Arabidopsis thaliana: one gene and its partner. The protein of the gene in region 1 interacts with the protein of each later gene in a biochemical or structural test. Each region holds a gene or a part of one and is shown in the gene's direction. Other genes may lie near its edges.

Evidence for each region.
Region 2: the proteins of CYSB (region 1) and AtCaN2 form a complex in vitro, tested with the Arabidopsis thaliana proteins (one study listed by BioGRID).

Annotation. Positions count from the first base shown.
Region 1 is NC_003074.8:3,957,726-3,965,164, reverse strand, and holds CYSB (cystatin B), read left to right. Parts: upstream 1-3,244; 5' UTR 3,245-3,288; coding exon 3,289-3,489; intron 3,490-3,734; coding exon 3,735-3,954; intron 3,955-4,073; coding exon 4,074-4,219; intron 4,220-4,239; exon of another isoform or gene 4,240-4,354; coding exon of another isoform or gene 4,355-4,363; exon of another isoform or gene 4,364-4,504; coding exon 4,505-4,642; 3' UTR 4,643-4,764; downstream 4,765-7,439. Other genes in the region: HCHIB (basic chitinase), read left to right, coding at 1,181-1,640, 2,117-2,664; NF-YC11 (nuclear factor Y, subunit C11), read right to left, coding at 4,887-5,375, 5,474-5,531, 5,620-5,754, 6,073-6,166, 6,258-6,330, 7,068-7,100.
Region 2 is NC_003071.7:16,871,625-16,878,023, forward strand, and holds AtCaN2 (Ca(2+)-dependent nuclease family protein), read left to right. Parts: upstream 1-1,720; 5' UTR 1,721-1,884; coding exon 1,885-2,031; intron 2,032-2,189; coding exon 2,190-2,245; intron 2,246-2,346; coding exon 2,347-2,461; intron 2,462-2,542; coding exon 2,543-2,653; intron 2,654-2,747; coding exon 2,748-2,992; coding exon of another isoform or gene 2,993-2,996; exon of another isoform or gene 2,997-3,087; coding exon 3,088-3,247; intron 3,248-3,316; coding exon 3,317-3,385; intron 3,386-3,495; coding exon 3,496-3,591; 3' UTR 3,592-4,059; downstream 4,060-6,399. Other genes in the region: AT2G40400 (DUF399 family protein, putative (DUF399 and DUF3411)), read left to right, coding at 1-372, 560-673, 799-945; AT2G40420 (Transmembrane amino acid transporter family protein), read left to right, coding at 5,676-6,042, 6,129-6,281, 6,373-6,399.

The DNA of each region.
Region 1 (7,439 bases):
TATAATTAAGAGATGAATATTGTCGTTAAATGATTTTGGTAATCTTAATGATGTCATTAAAAGATTCTATTTTTGATTAAAATTTTCTAATGGTATTGTCATGTAATTAATTACAAAAATTAAGATTACATTTAAAATGTATTTTGTAGGATTTGCCAATATATTCACATTACAATATTATTTTTTTCCATGGTCGATTATTTCTACCCGAAAGAGACGGCAACGCAGCCCACAGTGAGATTGGAGATTAGAGATTCAGTCAACGATGATTAACGTTACTTTTCATAGTTAGTACATAAGAATAGCACGCAGGTTTCGTCGAGGTTTTGGATTTTATATAGTTTGTAAACATGACACGTACTTTGGATAAAACATTATGAAATAGGGAAAGTCATCATGAGTAGTTGGAATAATGAATATATTAAATATTGGTATGATTTGGTCTTGAGTCATTATATCATTACCTGGCTAATGCTATACGTTACCTTATAATGAATTCTAAATGTCTCAATTGCTTTTTGAAAAAGTTGATCACGAACCCGCCGCCTCATATTCATAATTAAAGTTAAATTTTGTTTTTGTCAACATTGATCATAGTTAAATATTTAGACACGTCTATTTTTATTTTCTCCACGTTATACATTTTCTTGACTATTCATGCAACTCTTGTGATCTTGTCTTAGATATAGTCAAGTATTGTGTATACATCATAGGGAATATCCGAATATGTGTGTGTTTGATTAATTAGTGCACACTAGCTCAGATCATCGATTAGTCCGCAACTCGAGTAAACGTGTTTTCAGACCACCCAAAATTTTACGACCTTTGTGTCCCACTATCTACGTCGATAGTAACTTTAGAACAAAAAACTCAAAAAGAGTGTAATTTGTTATGCTTTTGGTCTTCTAAAATTTGTATTCTTCTACCAACATTTAGCACAGTTTCATACATAGAAAGTTCTCATTACTTGGAATTAACATGATAATCCCCCAAAAAAACAAATCAATATCTAACCTAGCAACAATGACGGAAGGAAAATAAATATAATCAAAAACAAACCTACCAAATACTGTTTGTTCCCCATAGCCACACTCCATAGACATAACAAACAATAAACTATGGAAAAAGATAGAATTTGATGTGATAAAACATTCATTAATTGGATCTATATATATCTTTCATGCCTCCACAAAAAGAAAACCATAGAACATTGAACAAAATGAAGACTAATCTTTTTCTCTTTCTCATCTTTTCACTTCTCCTATCATTATCCTCGGCCGAGCAATGTGGTCGCCAAGCTGGAGGAGCACTCTGCCCCAACGGTCTATGCTGCAGCGAGTTCGGCTGGTGCGGTAACACCGAACCATACTGTAAGCAGCCTGGCTGCCAAAGCCAGTGCACTCCCGGTGGTACTCCTCCTGGACCCACCGGCGATCTTTCGGGCATCATTTCAAGTTCTCAGTTCGATGATATGCTTAAGCATAGGAATGATGCCGCTTGTCCTGCTAGAGGTTTCTACACTTACAACGCCTTTATCACCGCTGCAAAGTCCTTCCCCGGTTTTGGCACCACCGGAGACACCGCCACGAGGAAGAAGGAGGTCGCCGCCTTCTTCGGCCAGACTTCCCATGAAACTACAGGTACCCAAAACTCATTAACAATTTGACGGAGATTGTTTCAAAACACAATTGCTAAATTTTGGTGTTTATTATTAAAACATCAGAATTTGAAGTTCTTTTTTTCTTCTGTAAAGAGTTTTGGATCCAAGTGCTCATATATACAAAGAACTACTATACTATATATATATATATATATATATATATATGTTTTATTGAAAAAATTATAGCTTCTCATATTTAGAAACGAAAGAAAAAAATCAAACAAAAACGCCAAACGCAAAGAAAAATGTTTTGGTCTTAGATGTTTGCGTTTACAATTAAAAAACTATTTTAAAAATATGAAATTCTTGATTAATCTAAACGCAAATAACCAATCAAGGAACTTACGAATATTCCAGTTTCCAAATTATACACTTTTGAATAATGTCAAGTTTGTGAGTTGTGACTATATATATAGCTATATACTAATTAATTAAGTGGACGGTTACGTCGTGCAGGTGGATGGGCTACAGCACCAGACGGACCATATTCATGGGGCTACTGTTTCAAGCAAGAACAGAATCCTGCTTCAGACTACTGTGAACCGAGCGCCACGTGGCCATGCGCATCTGGCAAACGCTACTACGGAAGAGGACCAATGCAACTGTCGTGGAACTACAATTACGGTCTATGCGGTAGAGCAATAGGAGTTGACTTACTCAACAACCCTGACCTTGTTGCCAACGACGCAGTGATCGCTTTCAAAGCCGCGATTTGGTTCTGGATGACTGCTCAGCCTCCCAAACCGTCTTGCCATGCCGTGATAGCCGGCCAGTGGCAGCCTTCAGACGCCGACCGTGCCGCCGGGAGATTACCGGGTTATGGAGTGATTACGAACATCATTAACGGTGGATTGGAGTGTGGACGTGGCCAAGACGGGAGAGTCGCCGATCGTATAGGGTTTTATCAGAGGTATTGTAACATATTTGGTGTTAATCCTGGTGGTAATCTTGATTGTTACAACCAAAGATCCTTCGTTAACGGCCTCCTCGAAGCTGCTATTTAGTAACGAGAGTATTATTATTATAATATAATACGCAGCTTTGTATTATCAAAACAATAATATCAGACTAATAAAACTCTTTCCAATGATGTTTCACTGTTTATGTTGCGATTTTATTTCCCATGGGCCTTTTTTAATTGGGCTCTCTAGCAGATGAGAGAAAGACGAAGAAAGGTGCATAGATGTTTTAAACTTCGATTACAAGTAAAGGTGTTTGACAATTTCTGTGTGACTCTGCCGACACGTTTCGTATAACGTGCCGCTATCCTCAGCAACGTTTTCATGTGTAATCCAGATTGGTATGAATTTCTATTTAAAATGTTGGTAGCTTAACCGATTGAGGCCAAATCAAACCAATCTATAACTCGAATCGGTACTCTTTTCTTACAAATGATTCGATTCAATTGGCATCCAATCAAATGTAAACCTTTTTTGTTTTAAATCGTAAGAATATTTTCATAAATCAGAGCCTAAACTTAAAACTGTACCAACAAAACCAACATCAAACCAAATGGACACCTTAATCCGGTACACGGCGAATTAACTGTAGAGGATAAAATCAACAATTCGACGAGTAAAACGAAAAATATCTAAAAATACAGGGCACCGAACCAAATAAAGGTGAGAATGATGAGAAGCCGTTTCTTACTCTTCATTGTTTTCTTCTCTCTATCCCTCTTCATTTCCTCTCTGATCGCCAGTGATTTAGGCTTCTGCAACGAAGAGATGGCTTTAGTCGGAGGTGTTGGCGATGTCCCTGCTAATCAGAACAGTGGTGAGGTTGAGAGCCTCGCTCGTTTCGCTGTCGATGAACACAACAAGAAAGAGGTTCCAAATCTCTCATCATCTTCGATTTTTTCACATCTCTCGTCTCGATATGTGTGTTTTATGCTATTATAGTCTTGATCCAGAACACGATTAGACTAATTTTGTCCGGAGTTTCTCTATTGATCTCAATTTCAGTTACCAGCAGATCTTAGAGAGTGTATATTATTCGGTGATGAAATGCGTTCATGTTGTGGGATTGATTGATTGATTGATTTTTTGGTTTGTTCTGTCTTTGGTCGTCGTAGAATGCACTTCTTGAGTTTGCGAGAGTTGTGAAGGCGAAAGAACAAGTTGTAGCCGGAACACTGCATCACCTGACTCTGGAGATTCTCGAGGCAGGACAGAAGAAGCTTTACGAAGCCAAAGTGTGGGTCAAGCCGTGGTTGAACTTTAAAGAGTTACAGGAGTTCAAGCCTGCCAGTGATGCCCCTGCTATCACTTCCTCCGATCTTGGCTGCAAGCAAGGTGTGAATTTGAGTAGTTACTGATAAGAACATTATAATGTCAGGGGATATATATGTAGCAAGTCAGAGATTGTGGGTTAGGAAAGAGTTTGGTTATGAAAATTGGGTTTTGTGGATCAGGTGAACATGAATCTGGATGGAGGGAAGTTCCCGGAGATGATCCAGAAGTGAAGCATGTTGCTGAGCAGGCTGTCAAGACCATTCAGCAGAGGTCTAACTCCTTGTTCCCTTATGAACTTCTGGAGGTTGTGCATGCTAAAGCTGAGGTATGGCTTTAATTTACTATATACTCTATCTTCGATCTTAATTGCACAAAATGAATTTCAATAGAGAACTTGTCAGATTTTGACAATGTTTTTGCATGAATTTCATCTGAGAAATTGCAAATAAACGAAATCAAGTGTCAGTGAAACCGAATGGTGTTGAAGTTTTAGAAGTAGAAAAGACTTTAAGCAACATATTGGTTCTCCTTGGTATGAGGACTAACGTCTGAGTTGTAATAGTTGGTGATTACAAGATTAATGAGCTTAATATTAAAAACATGGACACAGGTAACCGGCGAGGCTGCAAAATACAACATGCTACTGAAGTTGAAGAGGGGAGAAAAAGAGGAAAAGTTCAAGGTGGAAGTTCACAAGAACCATGAAGGTGCTCTTCATCTCAACCACGCGGAGCAACACCATGACTAGTCCCTCTCCTTTGTTTATGTACTTTTGAGTGTTTACTTACTCTGTAAGATATTTTAACTTCTGATGTAAAACTCTAAAACCTTAAATAACAAATCAGGAGAATAAATTAAGTTTCATAGAGTGCATGCAATCTTTGGTTCATACAATAAATGGAAACAGGAGAAGATTTTGATGACAGAAGAAGCATTTTCTAGACAAACTGCTAAACGCTGCTACTCTATATATCCTATAGTGCTGTTATGACTTAGCCTTCTTCGTCATAATCTTCCTCATCCTCGTCTATCCTCTTACCCAGACTAGCAAGCTGTGCTGGATCCATTTTGCTTATGTCCATCATAGGCCAGCCCGAATACTCCTCAGAGTCTGTTGCTGCAGTTGTGGTTGTGGTTGTGCCTGTGGCTGGTGCCAGTTTGGTCTCGTTTAGGTCGAGGGATTCAGCGTTGAGATCAAAGTCAATGCCTTCTTTGGGACTTTGAAGGTGTTGCTTGGTGTCTTCGTTCGATGCTGCTGTGCCGTCGATGCCTTTCTTCTCATCCTCTTGTGGTGATGACTCTGACGCATGCATCTTGACATTGTCTTCTGGTGGTGGCTGTCCAGAATTGGCGGCTTCTACTTCCATCTCGCGGTTGAGACCCTCTCTTTCGGCTGCTTTTGCAGCTCGTCCACCACGACCTCTTCCTCGCCCTCTTCCTCTACCACCCCTGCCACTGGTCTTAGCACTCCCTATCTCTTGCTGCAGTGATTACCAATATATTCAATGAATCTAAGGAGCTGGGAATAGACACCAAATGAATGATGAAGTATAATATTTCAAGAAGAACACGAGCTCACCGTTTTGCTTTTCTTATATTCCTCGTCACTGTCATTCACTTCATCGCTGATGGGCTTCCTGTTTTGATAAACCATCTCACATCAGCTTGACACGGACTATAAACAAAGAACTAGAACATATGGAACTAAGAGATCAAACATCCAACCTTCTCTTGGAGATGCTGCGATCATCCATGGTAACATCACCATGTCCTTGCCCTTGGGAATGGCCATAGTCAGGCACCTTACTCACAACTTCCCTCAGAAAATCAAACACGTTATATCTTTCCACACAATGTTTTCTGTAAACAACAAAGCACTTTGATAAACATGGATGAGCAAAAATAAGAACTTTATCCCAAATTTGTGGTATAAAATTCTGTAACAGTAAACAACATCCTCTCGGTGTTGGATGCAGTGAAAATAGGCCCTATGAGTTGGAAGCTATTCCGCTTAACAACATCATGTTAACTCTTAAACCACAATATCAATAATTACAACATCTGAAAGCTCTAGAATTTAAAATGCATTCAAGTGAAACCTTTCATGCTCTTTAGATAATGACGATGCTAGCATGCAGAGTTAAAGCAAAAATAAAGGTAAACCAATCTGTTACTTACAGGTGCAATGAGCTCACAGTCTTGGCACCTCTTTCAAGGGTAATTTCATATGTACGATCACAAAGGTCTTGCAAGAACAACTCCAAAGATTTTGCTGTAATAAGAGAACATGAAATTTAGCCAAAGGGTAAAGTTTCCAATAATTCTCTTTTCAAACTGAAGTCAATGATAGCAAGATGACTTACAGACTAAGACAGGCACTGCCAAAGCTATCTTGCCAACATCCTCATCAGCTTGCATAATCTTTTTAATACGAGCCTGAAAAATTGTAATATATGCATCAAATGAAGAAACAGCAACCATCACACAGTGTGTGTGGCAATAATTACAGACTACTAAACGAATTATAAAGCAAATGGTAGAACTGAGAAACACCAAGCACGCTCTGTACAATCACCAATCAGATTATACAAACAAAAATATATTAACAAATTAAATGGAAAGTCAAAATCTGTGAAAAACTAATATTCTAGCCTCAGCTCAAACAAAATAAACCACCATCAACAATAACCAACTTATGAAATCATCTGACGTTTTATTCAATAAAGCTAAACAAAATCTAGCTAGCCAAATTGGAAGCTCTACAAAAAGTTCCAAGCCTATGAAAAAACAATTCGTGTATAACATCCCTGCTTCAATCAACACTATCTAACCAATAGCTGACTGGTTTGTTGATAAAGAACACGTTTCGAGCACTAGTCACCTAAATTCTCGAATTCTCTAATTTACATGAAACATTCCATAGCGGATCTTCATAACACATATTACTATAGCTATATAACAAGCACAACAAAAATTAGGGTGAAATTGACTACTAGGTCATTTGCTAAAACTAATTCGCCAGAAATGAGATACTTAATCTAATTTTCATCGTAGAACACTAATCTAATCCCAAATAGTGTTGGAAATTCGATCTGAAAAACAACAGATCAAAGTAATTTCCGAGAAATTGGACTTCAATTTCAGAAATGATCAATTAGAGACGAAAAACTTACAGCTGGGAACCGAGTATCGAGCTTCTTCCTCATGGTTTTGAAATCCCCAAATCCAGAAATCGTCGAATGAGAAAACGCAAAGCCACCAAAAATAAGAAGGAAAAAAAGGTAAACCCGACCCTTGAGATCAAAAATTGAGGGACGCGAATCTTCTGTACATATACTCCGTTCTAAGATCAGAAAGTAAGTTTCTTCGTCTTCTACTTCATGGATATGCACTATCAGATCCGGCGACGGCGGTTTCCTTGTTACAATCTCCGTGCGATGGAAAAATTAAAATTAAATATATATAATCAAATTAAAGTTTTGGGTCAAAGAAAAAAAATGGGTCGACGACATGGTTATTTAATTAAGTAATGTTAGTTATAAATA
Region 2 (6,399 bases), on another chromosome or scaffold:
ACAGTTTGGCTCCCTGCACCAACCTTGTCTTTTATCTCATATGCTGATGAGACAATTGGGCCAAACAGCATAGATGCCTTAAGAGGCCTCCTAGGGTCCATACCTGACAATGCATTTCAAAAAAGTCTAGGTGGACAAGAGTGGACTCTGAGTCTTAGGATTGCTTCAGTTATTATCGGTGGCTTGAAGCTTGCTGGTGTTGGAGTTGTTTCCAGTTTTGCAGCTGTGGGATCTTCAAATGCTTTGTATGCAATACGAAAATTCATTAAACCAGAGTTGGGTGTTGGTGAGCAAGCAAAGAGGTCTCCTATGCTGAAGACGGCCCTTGTGTATGGAGGTTATCTGGGAACATCTTCGAATATCCGTTATCAGGTATGGTGATGCGCGGTGCTTTACATGTTGACTCAATGAATGAGGGATATTAATGAAAAGTAGTTAAAGTTGCTTAATGACCACAGCAATATATTATGCTTTTGCATCTTAGCCAAGGAAGGCCTTTTGATGAAGAACAGTATGCTTTGAATTTATGCCTCTAAAATCATATTACTTTCAATTGCAGATAATTGCTGGGTTAATAGAGCATCGCATTTCTGACGAGCTTTCTTCTCAACCTCTACTTGTAAACATGATTTCATTTGTTGTTCGAGTAGCTAACTCCTACTTTGGAACTCAGGTCAGAATTAGGCCTGTACTATGATCTCTTCTTGAATTCTTTGTCTCCTTTTTCCTTATTATTATTTTTGGTTAATTCTTGATATACCGTTTAACTTCATTCCAACTTTTTTCATAAAAACGCAGCAATGGATTGATCTTGCGCGCTCTACGGGTCTGCAAACTCAGAAAAGTGTCACAACTTCCAACCAAATCCCCGAGGTTGCGAGCCAATCCACAGTGGAATACAGTACAACTGAAGAGGCAAGTATGGATGATCTTAAGAATCAATGAGATTTATGCGGCTATGTGACTAGGTACCAATTGTATATGTTTATAAAAGCTTTTGATCGTATTGGAGGGAAAGATATATTCATTTGAGTTGTATTTTTGTATCTTAGCTTACGGGAAACAATGATTCGTGAATAAAATTTCTTCAATTAGTCATGTTGGTTTGCCATATTTGCACATGGTGGTGGATGCACGAGTTTTTTTTTTCTCTTATTGCCCTTCCCAAATATGACATCATTTATCATGTACTGTACAGTCATGAATTGCTTATAGTTGTAGCTTATCAATTCGAAAATTGTTGAGAATAATGGGAAATGGTTTCAGATGGCATACATAAGGGTTTTTTTGTTTTTGTTTTAACAAGATCGTTTTTAATGACAACTAACGATATTTTGTCTTCATCGTATCAAACTGTGCTCAGGCATCAAATAAATTCCATGCATGGGTGTGATTCGCTACCATCACTTTTCACTTTCTCTGCCAGACTGACACAACAATCTTTTTGTCATATAAAACACAAGCTTGTCAAAGCCACAGCGAGAACCAAAAAACTGTTGAGTAACTGAGTATTGCGCGGCCATACAAACACCCAAGGAGGAACTTCTTATGTTATCCTAATTGGTTATTTGTGCTCCAACAATGGATAGTTTCCTTACTTTTGGACTTCGGTGTTTGTATGGACCACCTACAATTGTGATTTATTTAACAAAGAGAATTGTAAAAAAAAAATTGTTGCCTTATTCTTAATTATTCTCCCAACTTATTTTTTCTTCTCCTTTTAAATTAAATCATTTTTATTTATTTATTGAAAAGTTAATTACAGATAAGAGTAAGTGTTTGAGAGTTGACTCCTTTGTCCTTCCTCTTTAGGATTCTCCTCTGGGCTCTGGTAAGGTATTAGAAAGATCAAAACTTTTTGGATTCCCTGAAATTGGGTGAAAGATGGGTAACGCTCTTACGTTTCTCTACGGAAAATGCTGCAAACCCACAACAACCGATGACTCTCTTGGTCCTCACGGCGTCTCCGCCGCCACCGTCGGTGTTTCAGCTCTCGCTCACGATCTCTTCAACTTCGAGATCACTTCCCAGGTCTTAATTTTCTCACTGAAACTTCTAACCGTCCTTTGATCTACTTATTCTGCTGCTTTCATTTGTGCTCCAGTGATCTTTAAGCTAATTCAGCTGTTGGAAGGTCTCTTTACTTGATTTGGTTCAAAAGTTGATTTTGATGATGAGTTTACCTGTAGGTTCCTGAAGGGCTTGGGAGGTATGTTCAGTCATCTAGAAAAGCTCAAGCAAACTGGTAAAATAACACAAGATTGCTTTACATGTTTCGTGTAGGATAAAGATGTGAACTTTGTTGTGTAATCAATCTGTTTGTCATGTATTTTAACATTGTGAAAGGTATAGAAAAATACTTGAGGCATGGAAGCAAGCAAAACCTCCACCGCAGACAGCTGAGGAAGCTTCTAGGCTTGTCACTGATATCTTAAAAAGGAATCAGAAAGCTGATGTTGAGGTATGATTAGCAAGAACAGATGTTTTAAAACATTTATGAGAATTGGAAGAGATTTATGTGATTGTGTTGTTTATGAAACAGGGGCTTTTGTCTTTCTATGGACTCCCTTTGTCTCATACTCTAGTTGAAGTCACTGTTGAAGCTCCTGTGTCTTTGCCTGAAGGGATTCTTTTCGAATTTCAAACACTTCCGGTTAGAATGACTTCAGTACAAATCAAAAAGAACAACAACTCGGTTTTTGGGATTTGATAATGTTGCTGACTAAGCTTGTGTAATGGAAAACAAGGTGGATCCAAAAGCTGTGGCAGATGGAGACACCATCACAGTGTATGTCAGTACTTCAGAGCCGGTTGTGTCATCTTCTGTTCCAAGGGAAGTCAATCTTGCAGCTGTTCAAAGAGCAAAAGCACGTGAGAAGAGAAATTATCCAAAAGCTGACGAACTTCACCAAAAGATCATTGATTCTGGTTACAGGGTACTAAATATTGAGAATGAGGAAGTTCTTGCTCGGAAGTTCAGAATTAGACTAAGGTAAAGATCACTCTTTTCCTTTAAGAAAAGCTCAACTAGTTCTACCATGGATTATTTTGTTTAGTGAAGCTGTTTGGTGATGGGAAAGGAAATAGGGGAATAGATGCACCAGAGAGCCAAATGCCGTTTGGGAAAGAGGCACAAGAAGGGCTCTTAAAGATTGTTGGGCGGAAAAGCTTGAAGGTGTTAGTTTATGGAGAAGATCAATATGGGCGATGCGTAGGTGATTTATACTGCAATGGGATCTTTGTCCAGGTAATAGAAGTACTTGCCCTTCCGTTGTAATAAAAACTTTGTTTAATCGGTTATTGGTTTCTTATCTAGGAGGCAATGTTAAAGAAAGGGCTTGCTTGGCATTACTTAGCTTATGACAAGCGCCCGGTTCTCGCAAAGGCAAGACTAGTAGAGTTTGTTTTGTATATACTACAAGTACGAAGTCTCTTTAGTTTGTTGACATAGTATCTTTTGTGTATTTACTGTTCATTTTATGTGAAATCATTCAGTGGGAAAAGGAGGCAAGGCAGAAGCGTATTGGCTTGTGGGCTTCTTCAAATCCAGAGAAGCCATGGGACTGGAGAAAGAATAATAGGCGGGAATAGTCAACCGACTTTGTTTGGGCAAAATCACAAACCAAGTAATCAGCGTTTAAGACAATTGAGATTTGTGATTGTTGAGGGTTTTTGTTTAAATCCTCAGCCCTATTCTGTGTGTAAATGGTTTGTGCACTCACCCTATCTTTGATGAGACATATCGAGATATTATAGAGTTAGCAAATTGATCAAAATCAGTAATGTGGTGTAGTGCTATTAACCAAATCTTTCTCTAAGAAGTCACCAGTGAGAAGACAGTCAGAGACGATTGGTACAATGATATTCAGACAAACCTTTACGGTAACCTCTAAAACTCAAGCCAATATCAGAGACATACTCTGAAACCAAAATCCCACCTAAATCTGTTGTGAAACAAAACCTTTATTTTGTTTGGGAGCGATTTAATTTTATTTTTCCGGTTTGTTGTATAATGGAACACATGATTATTATTGACTGCTGTCGTGTTATCTATATGAGTTTTTTTTTTATGACTACTTTTTTATGAAAAAAGTCTATGATTACTATATTTAAAATATAAAATATTAGCTTAATCAAATAAAAAACATTATAGACTATTCTGATTCTTTCGATCACATCAACCTACTAGTTCGTGATACTGTCTGACTTAAATAAAAAATATAAAAATAATTACGAAAAAATACTTTATAAATCAAATATCACAAATTTTATGTTTTAAAACAATCTTTTTAAGTTTAGTAGAATTACTAAGTTAATTAAGATCTTCCCCCCCCCCCTTTTTTAGACAAAGATATTGTTTTTAAGAAATTTCTGTTAAAAATATATATATATATATATATAAATTTTTTGAGTAAACTTATTTGTAATTATGCGACAGTGGACATATATATAGTACTGCAGTTAGGGGTGTCAAAATGGGTCAAAATTCATGGGTCAACTCAACTCAACTCAACTCATGAACCCTAATGAGTTGAAAATTTTGACTCAAATGAGTTGATGGGTCAAATGGGTTGATGAGTCAATTGGTTTGATGAGTAAAATGAGTTGGGTTGTAATGGTTAATGGTTTCAATGGTTTACCCAATTAACCCATCAAATTTTGTAAAATTGAATTAAACCAACTAAAATCTCTAAACCAATGCCAATTTAAGTTTAACCAACACATCTAAACCAATTTAATAAAATTAATATTTTTCCAAATTTCTTAAATATACAAGCGATGCAATTGAGAAAAAATAAACTCGTAATTTTTCCACCAAAAAACATAAACCCGTGATTTTTCCGCCAAAAACGTAAACCCGTGATTTTCCCGCCAAAAACGTAAATCCATAATTTTCCCGCCAAAAACGTAAACCCGTAATTTTCCCGCCAAAAATGTAACCCCGTGATTTTCCCGCCAAAAACGTAAACCCGTAATTTTTCCGCCAAAAACGCAAACCCGTGATTTTCCCGCCAAAAACGTAAACCCGTGATTTTCCCGCCAAAAACGTAAACCCGAGATTTTCCCGCCAAAAACGTAAACCCGTGATTTTCCCGCCAAAAACGTAAACCCGAGATTTTCCCGCCAAAAACGTAAATCCGTTATTTTTTCGCCCAAAACGTAAACCCATCATTTTCCGGCCAAAAACGTAAAAACCTATAATTTTCCCGCCAAAAACGTAAATCCGTGATTTTCGGTACCAAAAACGTAAACCTGTAAAAAGTGGAATCCGTAAATATCTTAAGTTTGATGATAATGAATTAATAATGATAATTATTTATTATTTTTTTATAATAATAATTAATTAAATTATTACTTAAATGGGTTAACCCATTTAACGACTCAACCCATCAAATTAAATGAGTTATGGGTTGACTCAACCCATTTAGCAAAATGAGTTGGGTCAACCCATAACTCATTTAATTCTAAACTCATTTGATTATGAGTTGAGTTGAGTTGGGTTACCCATTTTGACACCCCTAACTGCAGTATATGATTACGATGCCACGTAATATTGACGTCGTTAATTATCTATTCTTCTCTCACAAATCAATCATCAATTTTCAGTTTTCATTACCATTTCCTCTTCACCGGGGAAAATTCTGTTAGTTTCTTTCTCCGGTAGTTGAAAGAAAATGTCTCCTGCGATCAAAGCACCGCTCTTACCAAACCAAGAGCCTTCATCATCATCATCGGAGAACCATGGATCATTCGCCGGAGCTGTGTTTAACATCTCGACAAGCATCGTCGGAGCTGGAATTATGGCGATTCCGGCGGCTTTCAAAGTCCTAGGTGTAATCCCATCTCTATCGATAATCGTAATCATAGCTTGGCTCTCCAATGTATCAGCTGGGTTTTTAATGAAATCCAGTCTCGCCGGAGAATCAACAACTTACGCCGGCGTGATGAAGGAATCGTTCGGAAAATCTGGTGCCGTTGCTGTTACGGTTGTTACAATGGTTGTGACTTTTGGGTCTATGATTATTTTCTCGATTATCATTGGTAAAATTTGATTTTGTCTCAAAAATAAAAATCTGAACTTTTTCACAAACCTTTGAATTGATTCAGTGATTGTTTGTTTCTCTTAGGTGATGTTATTTCGGGTAATGAGAAAGATGGAATCATACATTTAGGTCTTCTTCAAGAATGGTTTGGTTCTCATTGGTGGAATACGAGATTCTTTGGTTTGTTGTTCATCTTTGTCTTCCTCTTCCTTCCTTTAGTCTTATGCAGACGTGTAGGTAACGTTTCTTATACTAAATACTTAGTCTTTGCTTGAATCGATCAATGCATATTGGTTTTGATGATTTTGTCTGTTTATGTTTTGTGTAGAAAGATTGGCATTTAGTTCTGCAATTT